Diceros bicornis minor: one gene and its partner. The protein of the gene in region 2 purifies or fractionates together with the protein of the main gene of each other region. This does not show direct contact. Links are inferred from orthologs where the notes say so. Each region holds a gene or a part of one and is shown on either strand. Other genes may lie near its edges. The genes, in order: CUL9 and GLMN.

What was found.
Region 1: the proteins of GLMN (region 2) and CUL9 purify together in Homo sapiens (affinity purification with mass spectrometry; 3 studies listed by BioGRID and IntAct, counting the BioPlex papers as one, with this or other methods). This does not show direct contact. The link is inferred for Diceros bicornis minor from reciprocal best matches to the Homo sapiens genes GLMN and CUL9.

The regions. Positions count from the first base shown.
Region 1 is NC_080753.1:22,535,251-22,539,165, forward strand, and holds the start of CUL9 (cullin-9), read right to left. Parts: upstream 2,653-3,915; 5' UTR 2,595-2,652; intron 529-2,594; 5' UTR 520-528; coding exon 1-519. UniProt on the Homo sapiens protein: Core component of a Cul9-RING ubiquitin-protein ligase complex composed of CUL9 and RBX1. The CUL9-RBX1 complex mediates ubiquitination and subsequent degradation of BIRC5 and is required to maintain microtubule dynamics and genome integrity.
Region 2 is NC_080743.1:28,576,597-28,580,511, forward strand, and holds the start of GLMN (glomulin), read right to left. Parts: upstream 2,315-3,915; 5' UTR 2,025-2,314; coding exon 1,973-2,024; intron 1,576-1,972; coding exon 1,505-1,575; intron 1,073-1,504; coding exon 947-1,072; intron 1-946. Other genes in the region: putative RNA polymerase II subunit B1 CTD phosphatase RPAP2, read left to right, coding at 2,932-3,166, 3,382-3,427.

The DNA of each region.
Region 1 (3,915 bases), on a different chromosome or scaffold from region 2:
GTGCATGAGCAGGTCCAGGGCTCCTGTCTCCCTGAAGACCCCAGTGAGGGGCCCGATGCTGGCGTAGGCACTGAGTACGTGGATGGTGTGGAGCACAGTGGCTGTGACGCTCGAGGTCCCGCCTTCTGCCAGCTGCCTGGCAGCCCTGCGCACCAGCGCCCGCACATCAGCCTCCATCTCTCCCATTGCCACGTCATCCAAGCCTCCTGGATCTTGAGGAAAGCTTCCTGAACCCCCAGCTGGTTCATGCTGAGGTCCCTTAGATAGTGCCCGCTCACCTAACAGCATGGGGCAGTTGGCGTAGACCTCAGGAGCTGACAGCCACATGAGGATGTGCTCTGCCTTACCCTCTTCCACACCCATTCTGCCCACTTCCCCACACTTCAGGACACTCCATCGGATCAGGTACTCAGGACGTCCATCATGCCCAGGACGCTGTCGAATAAGTTCTTCAGGATATGCCTGCAGCCAGGGCCCCAGGGGCACCATGAGGTCCCCAGTGCGCCGTTCTCCCACCATCTTGACCTCCTGAGACACACAAAGAGAAAGATAGAGGCAGTATGGGAAAGGGAAAAGACTACACGGAAGGGGTGGAATCTGGAGACACAGAGAGGCTGGGTGGTGATTGGTAGGCTGCATGGTTGAATTCAGGGGCCAAATAGAAAAGGCCAAGAATAGGATGGAATAAATAACTTGAACATACTTTGGAATTTATAAGAGGAGCACGGAGTGAAAACAGCAAGAGGATGAAATGAAGGGATTCAGGAAATGAAAGAGGTTACAAGAGAGAGGATGAGAAGAACAACAGGCAAGGTAACAAAAAGAGCAACAGTTAAGCAGGACAGTCTGGGCAGAATAGCAGGGTGGCTGAGGGATACAGTTCAGGACTTAGGGAAGAGTTATATGGGCGAGCAGGAAGGACAGAAGCATCTGCGACAGTGGCACCAGAACAAGTTAGGAAAGTCAGGGGAGGGGAGAGGCAGGACAGGGAGTATAAATGAGAGTAAAGCTGGTATGTGGCTACAAAGGGCTGGGCCATGGCAGATATAGAGAAAACAGACGAAAGGAGGCTGGGCTGTGGGCCCCCACATCCAGATGGCTGGATGGGAAAAGTGTATGAGAATACTGTGAAAGAGAGAGGGAGCCAGGGGGCCAGATAACATTATGGGAAAAAAAGACAGGTCCTACCCTGGACTTACACTGTACGCATAGTGAGGGTCTAAGTCAGGTAGATATAGATGGAGGTGGTAATCATGGAGTTAAAGAGTAGGGAATGAGGTCAGGAGATGGTAGAGGTAATAGGGAAGCAAATAGTATGGATTACAAAGTTAGATGAATGTGATTCTGAATTCTGGCTCTTTCACTTACTATGTTTGTAGTTTTGTACAAGTTACTTAGTCTCTGAACCTCAGTTTCCTCCTCTGCAACATGGTAATACTATTCATACCCATCTCATGAAGTTGTAGTAAGATCACATACGTGAAACATTTAGAACAGCTTCCAACACATATTGAGTGCTCCGTAAACACAATCTAATATTACTATTCTTTTTTGTTGTTGTTTTGTGAGGAAGATCAGCCCTGAGCTAACATCCATGCCAATCCTCCTCTTTTTGCTGAGGAAGACCGCCCCTGAGCTAACACTTATTGCCAATCCTCCCCCCTTTTTTCCCTTTTTCTCCCCAAAGCCCCAGTAGATAGTTCTATGTCGTAGCTGCACATCCTTCTAGTTGCTGTATGTGGGACGCGGCCTCAGCATCGCCAGAGAAGCGGTGCATCGGTGCACGCCCGGGATCCGAACCTGGGCCGCCAGTAGCAGAGTGCGCGCACTTAACCGCTAAGCCGTGGCGCCGGCCCTAATATTACTATTCTTAAATGAAGAAGGTAGGAGCAGTCCTCAGATAAATGGAAAGATATTAAGCCAAAAGAAGACTGTAAACGGGAGTAGGGTGATGGCTATGCTAGTCGTCAGGAAAAGATGTGTGTGATATGAAGCAGTGTGGGGGCAACCGGGAGTGGTGAGAGTAAGAATGGAAGGTAAACTCAGATGAAGAAATGGTGATCAGAGCAGGGGTCCTGTTGAGGTCAGGGAGAGAAGATGAGAATAGAAGAGAGGCGTGAAGAGGAGGGGAAACATAGGAGGTGATGGGGGTAGGGGTCCAGTTATCATGGAGGGCAAGACTGGGAGGGAACCAGTGATGCGATGGACCACTGATGAGCAGGATACAGGGGTAAAACAATCAGATAGGCCTAAGATTGGAGGAGAGGAGGTGGGGAACTGTCATGGGCCTGGGACAATAAACTGAGGTGTAGAGAGATCTGGACGCGAGGATGACACAGCAGGTAGGCTGGTAGCAAGGTCAAGCCCAAGCCTGCAGACCAGCAGGGGCGGCGGCGGAGGCCAGGACAGCGGTGGGAACGGGCTTGGGGGGGCGGGGTGAGGATGGGGAGGAGGGCGCGGTCCGAGGAGGCTGACAGGACCGAGCGAACCTAAGAGAGTGAGACCTGGGTCCCGTCGTCAGCCCGACAGAGAGTGGGTAAGGGACCAAGCAGGGATGGGACGGGGACCGGGGCGGCGCAGGACTCTTGTCTCACCTCCCACTGCCCAGCTCGGCCCTCGCTGGGGCCCAGGGGCCGATGCCGCCGTCCTGGCCCCGCCTCCTCAGCAGCTCCCTTCCGGGTCACGCAGGAGAGCGCGCGCGGCCGGGCGTCTACGGGTCCCACCGCGGCCCACAGCCGAGCGGGCGGAGCAGCGCGCGAGTGGCACATGCGTAGTGCCCGCGGGCTGCTGCGTGGAGGCGCGCTGCAGGCGGAGCCGGGATCGCGGTCCCGTTGCTCCTCGCTGCAGGAGTGGAGAGCCGTTTCCATCCGCAATCAATTGTGAAGCCCCGTTCCCCTTCACGGAATCAACCTTCTTCATCCCCCTGAAACCTAGTGACCCACACTCCCCCGCTAGGGCTGCTCTTTGAGTTTTTACTGGGTAACGTGGACATGAGTTTCCCAAACCCCTTGGCAATGCTTTGGTTGAGTCACTTTTCCTATTAATTAAAATTGTTCATGTCTGTGTTGGCCTAACAGCCGGCAAAGCCCTTCACCGAGATAAAGGCCCAGCCTCCGAAATGTTCGTTAAATTAAATCGTACGGAGTTCAACAGCCCAAAGCTCCCCTTAGCATTGCCGGATGTTTTCATCAAGCAGCCAGGCTTCCTTCTCGGAGCAGCAACTTTTGGGGTTTGATTCGTGTTCACACCTCCCTCCCTCCCTCCCTGCATGGAAAAACGGAGGCAAAGACCCCACTGTCTGTGCACAAAAATGATACATTTATTGAAAGAGTATTTTTTTTAATACAAAAGAAAGCTCTGTACATAGGACTGTGACCATGTCCACTATTCCTGGGTCAGCATCCCAGGGGAAGTAGAAACCACTGACATACACACTCCACATTCACACACACACATTCACTCAGGCACATACACACCCCCCAGAGCCATCAAGGAAGGGAAACACCAAGGGTCACTGCACATAGAAATGCCACCTCATCCCTGACGCACGCATGTTCTCCCAAGGCCACGCTCACACAACACACATTATAAGCACTTTGCCTGATTCACTCACTGGGTCTGTCTTTTGTGGGAAGGAGAGGAGGAATTCATCAAGGTCTCCTCCCCTGGTGGGGGAGTGGGGAGTGAGTGAGTGATGGTGGAGTGAAAGGAGAGCAGAGAAAAGGGGCTGGGCAGTTACAGACCTGAGTCCCAAGTTCCCCCACTCTCTGGCCCCTGATTTGCCATGCCCCAGCCTTGTAAGCCACCCATAAGCCCCAGCTATCTCCAGGAAAAAGCCCAGAAAGGTGGCTGCCATCCTGGCACCCCAAATTGGGGCAAGACAGCAATGGGGGTTAGAGGTTAGGGGGTTCTCAA
Region 2 (3,915 bases):
AACAAATGTATTAAATAAAATGTTCTATTTTTTCAAAAATTTTTTTAATTTTTAAAATCTTTTTTAAATAAAAAAGAGATAAGCTCTTTGAACTATTGACTAAAAGATTCTACAACAATATGTGATTCAAAAGTTTTAGGAACCTCCCAAATACAATCAAGGAGCCCTAGATATAATCACAGGCCAGCATGACCAGATTGTGGTATCAACAAAAAAAACTCCTGTATAAATAAATAATACTATAAATGAAGAAAGAGTATGTTCCTGGAAAGAAGATGATCTTCCCTTGTATAAGGAGGGGAGTCCAAAGACACAAAATTTGGCAGTATTGCCAACACTGTGTCCTAGCTGTTCCTGATCCCAAAAAGATCCTTTCCCATTGTGGAGAATGACTTCTCAGACAATCATAGCTGGACGATAATGGCTAGTAAGGTCATCCAGCTCTCCCCATATTCTGATTCTAGGCACCTAAGACTTAATATTTGGTTTTCTATATTCATCTGGCTGGAGGAAGAGAATGTGCTGATCACCAAAAATGAGTATCTAGCCTGCCTGATAATTATATTTCTCAATGTAAATTAATGATTCAAATGCCACTTTTGATCCCCAAACCAGAAGTAATCCCTCTTCTTCTAAAGCACTTTACTTATATTTCAACTATAGCACTTACTCTGGAGAGGCTAAATGAGTTAACAGACGTAAAGCATCTGTTTGTTCTGCCTCCTTCTTGCTAGCTGTTTACATGTTCATCTCTTCCACCAGAGTGCAAGCACCTGAAAGCATATGAATAGTCCTAATTCCTTTTTTGTTTCCCACAGTTTCCTACTGTGGAAATTTAAGTTGATTCTTAAATGTTTGATGAAAAAAATGAATGGATGAATAATAGTATCATGCGGCTATTCTCTCCTAGTAAAGACTGAAAAGTACACACAAAGATTGTACTTACCTTATTCTTTTCACTTTGAATAATTTCTAATAGCTGGTCTATGTGCCCTTCATCTAAGCATCTTTGGCCTGCTAACTGAAATAGGCCAAAATCTTCTTCTTTAAAGTCTTGCTCATCTAGGATTTGCTAACAAAAACAAAATAAACAAAAATCAAACATGTTGAGGTAAATACAAATCCAATAACTACCTGATTTATTTAACTCTCTGAAAAAAGGAAATCTGTTTAAATTCTAGATAAGTTGCACACAAGCATATGTATGAAAATTAGAATTAGCCTAATAAATATTTTAATGAATGATCTTGAAATCCATTGTACCAAAAAAATCTATGGTAAGGATCAGCATCAAAAATTTAAAAGGTTATTTAGACAAGTATGTCACTTAGAGAAATAATCCAATCTGCCTTCCTGCCCTCATGCTATTTTTTCACAGGTCAAAAGAAGCAAGGATTAAAGAAGATTAACGATTTGAGTGATTGCAAATGTTAATAAAAATAATCTGTACCCTTCCCATATTTTGAAAGGTATTTTAACTTTACAAAAAGAAAAAATTACTTACACATCTCTTTATTATAGATTGAAGTTCCTCCACAGCCATTCCTGTTTTTCCTAGTTTGAGGCTGAAATGTACTAATATAAAACACACTGTTAACTATAAGTGATATTACACTGAAGTATTAATAAGTTATGTTTCATTCTTATGAATTATTAGTAAATACAATAAAGAAAATGGAAACTTGTAAAGCTGAAATGCTTTTACTGCAAGTTAGTGTTAACCCAAGAAAATAAAAATGTATTTTAAAAAAAATTCCTGTTGCATCTTTTAACTTTTCTAGAGCATAGTTTTGAAAGATAGACTTAAAAAAAAATCCTCTAGACACTCTCAAGAAGCAACACAAATATGCACTATATAAATGACTTTAAAAAGGAAAAGTATTTCTTTTCCGAAAAAATCTCCGAAAGGTGGGCCTGAAATCAGTAGGGAATTTTTTATGTTTTAATGTCCCGCCAGTGCAACAAAACTCACCCAGAGAGGGTGCAAGTTCAGACGCCCTCCACCCCAAGCGTGACCGAGACATTTCTCTATAAGAGATGCACTCCCCAAAATAATCAATCCAGTCAGTGAAATCACTATATCGCACGCAGACGAGGCAACCGGCGGCCCTCAGGACAACACCGTTCCGTTGCCACCGGTCATCGTTTCTCCCAGCAGGAAGGCCGAGCCCCAGGCCCACAGTGGGGTCGCGGGTCGGCGGGGTCCTCACGGCTGCGCGCTCCAGGGCGGATGAAACCCCAGCGCGCGTGCGGGCGGCATCCAAGGGAAGCCATTTCTCCCGATTCCTGCTCGCCTTGACGTTCGGGCCCCACCACCTCGCAGGGCCTAGTTGGTCCGCGGCCCCGAGTCCTGCGCGGCTGACGGCCCCCGGCAAGCCCCGAGCCCCCAGCACTCCCGGAGCGCCCACTTACCGGCCACCCCTCCCGCCCCTCTCAGCCGCCTCCTCCACCTCCGGGGGCCGCGCAGGGCGCTCTCCGGGCCCCGCCCCGCGCTGCGCGAGGGAGGCGGAGCCTCGGGAGAAGACGCCGAGGCGGGGCCCGACCCTGTGAGGACGCGTCCCATGGCTGAGCCGGCCAGGCTGCCCTCGGCCCGCCCCAAGGCCCGGGGTCCCCGCGCCTCCCGAAACGCCGCAGGTAGGAAGAAGGGCCTCTTCCCACGTTTGGACCCTGAGAACTGAGCCCCGACAGAGTTCCAGACCAGGCGCGCGGGGCGCTCCCGAAAGGCTGCCCCGGGGGAGGTAGTCTTCGGGGCAGAGAAGGCCGAGAGCTTCTCACCGCCGTCCTCGCGCGTTCTGGGGAAGACCTCCGGCCGCCTCCACCTCTTTCCACTAGTATTCCACGATTTTCCCCAGAAGGGCTGTGCTCCAGTCTCTGAGGGAAAGGGCAGTAGAGATCCTGGGAGCCTGGAGTCGCCAGAGTGAGCAAGTGACCATGGCAGCGTCAGCGGGCAGTGCGCAGCTGGCCTTGAACCTAGCACTGGTCCTCCTTCCAGATGTCCTGCTGATCTGGTGCTCCGGTTCTCTGAGGTGTCATACTCCTCCCTTTCCCTGGGAGCGAACATTTGGGGGATGGAGAGAGGTTGCCCGTAAAAGGAGCCAGATCTCAGATTTGCAGGAGTGCCTAACTATGCAACTGTGTTTCAAGACAAAATTCAATCCCGAAAGAGGTACATTTTAACCAAAAATTCGGGAATAACTAATTAATTTACAAAAACAAATTGGATCCCTTCCCATTTCATTTGATTTACACACAGGATTGGAAATGAAATGTGTGGAAAAGAAGAAAAAATGGTCTGCAGTATATTTGGGCAGGAATCTGTCCTGTAACCTAGTGTGTTTGTGTATACTTGACCTACTGATTTTGGGGTTTTTTTAATCGTAGGTACTAAACAGACAAGTGCCTTGCAACAAGAGGATGCCTCCAAAAGGTATGAGAACTACTTGGACAACTGCATTCTCTTATCTGTTTATCTTATATTATTTGAACCATTTTTAAAAACAATAATGGGTGCTACCCTTGAGAAAATTCTTATGAGAGAGAAGGGGAATATCTGGGAAGCACTATAGTTCTCACACAGACTGTTACATCCCCGTACTCCGTGCTTTAAGAAAACCAAATCAGACACTTGTAGATCACTGGTGAAGGTATGAGTGTCTGTAGAAAGGTGTCTATGGGAATAAACAGTCCTGAATTAACCAGGTACTCCTTTTCCACCTCTCCAGATACTTTCTACTTTTCTTTGTATGCCAGAGACGCCAAGAAACCTTTTCTGTTGTTTGTTTACATCATGTCCATATTTTCAGCAAAAAGTTGTCCTGTGCTGTCTCTTGGCTTCTCCTAAAAAGGCAAGATTTATATCCTGTCACAAAGGGTTTCTGGAATAGGAATAGTCTATGAGGATGATTAAGTAATATA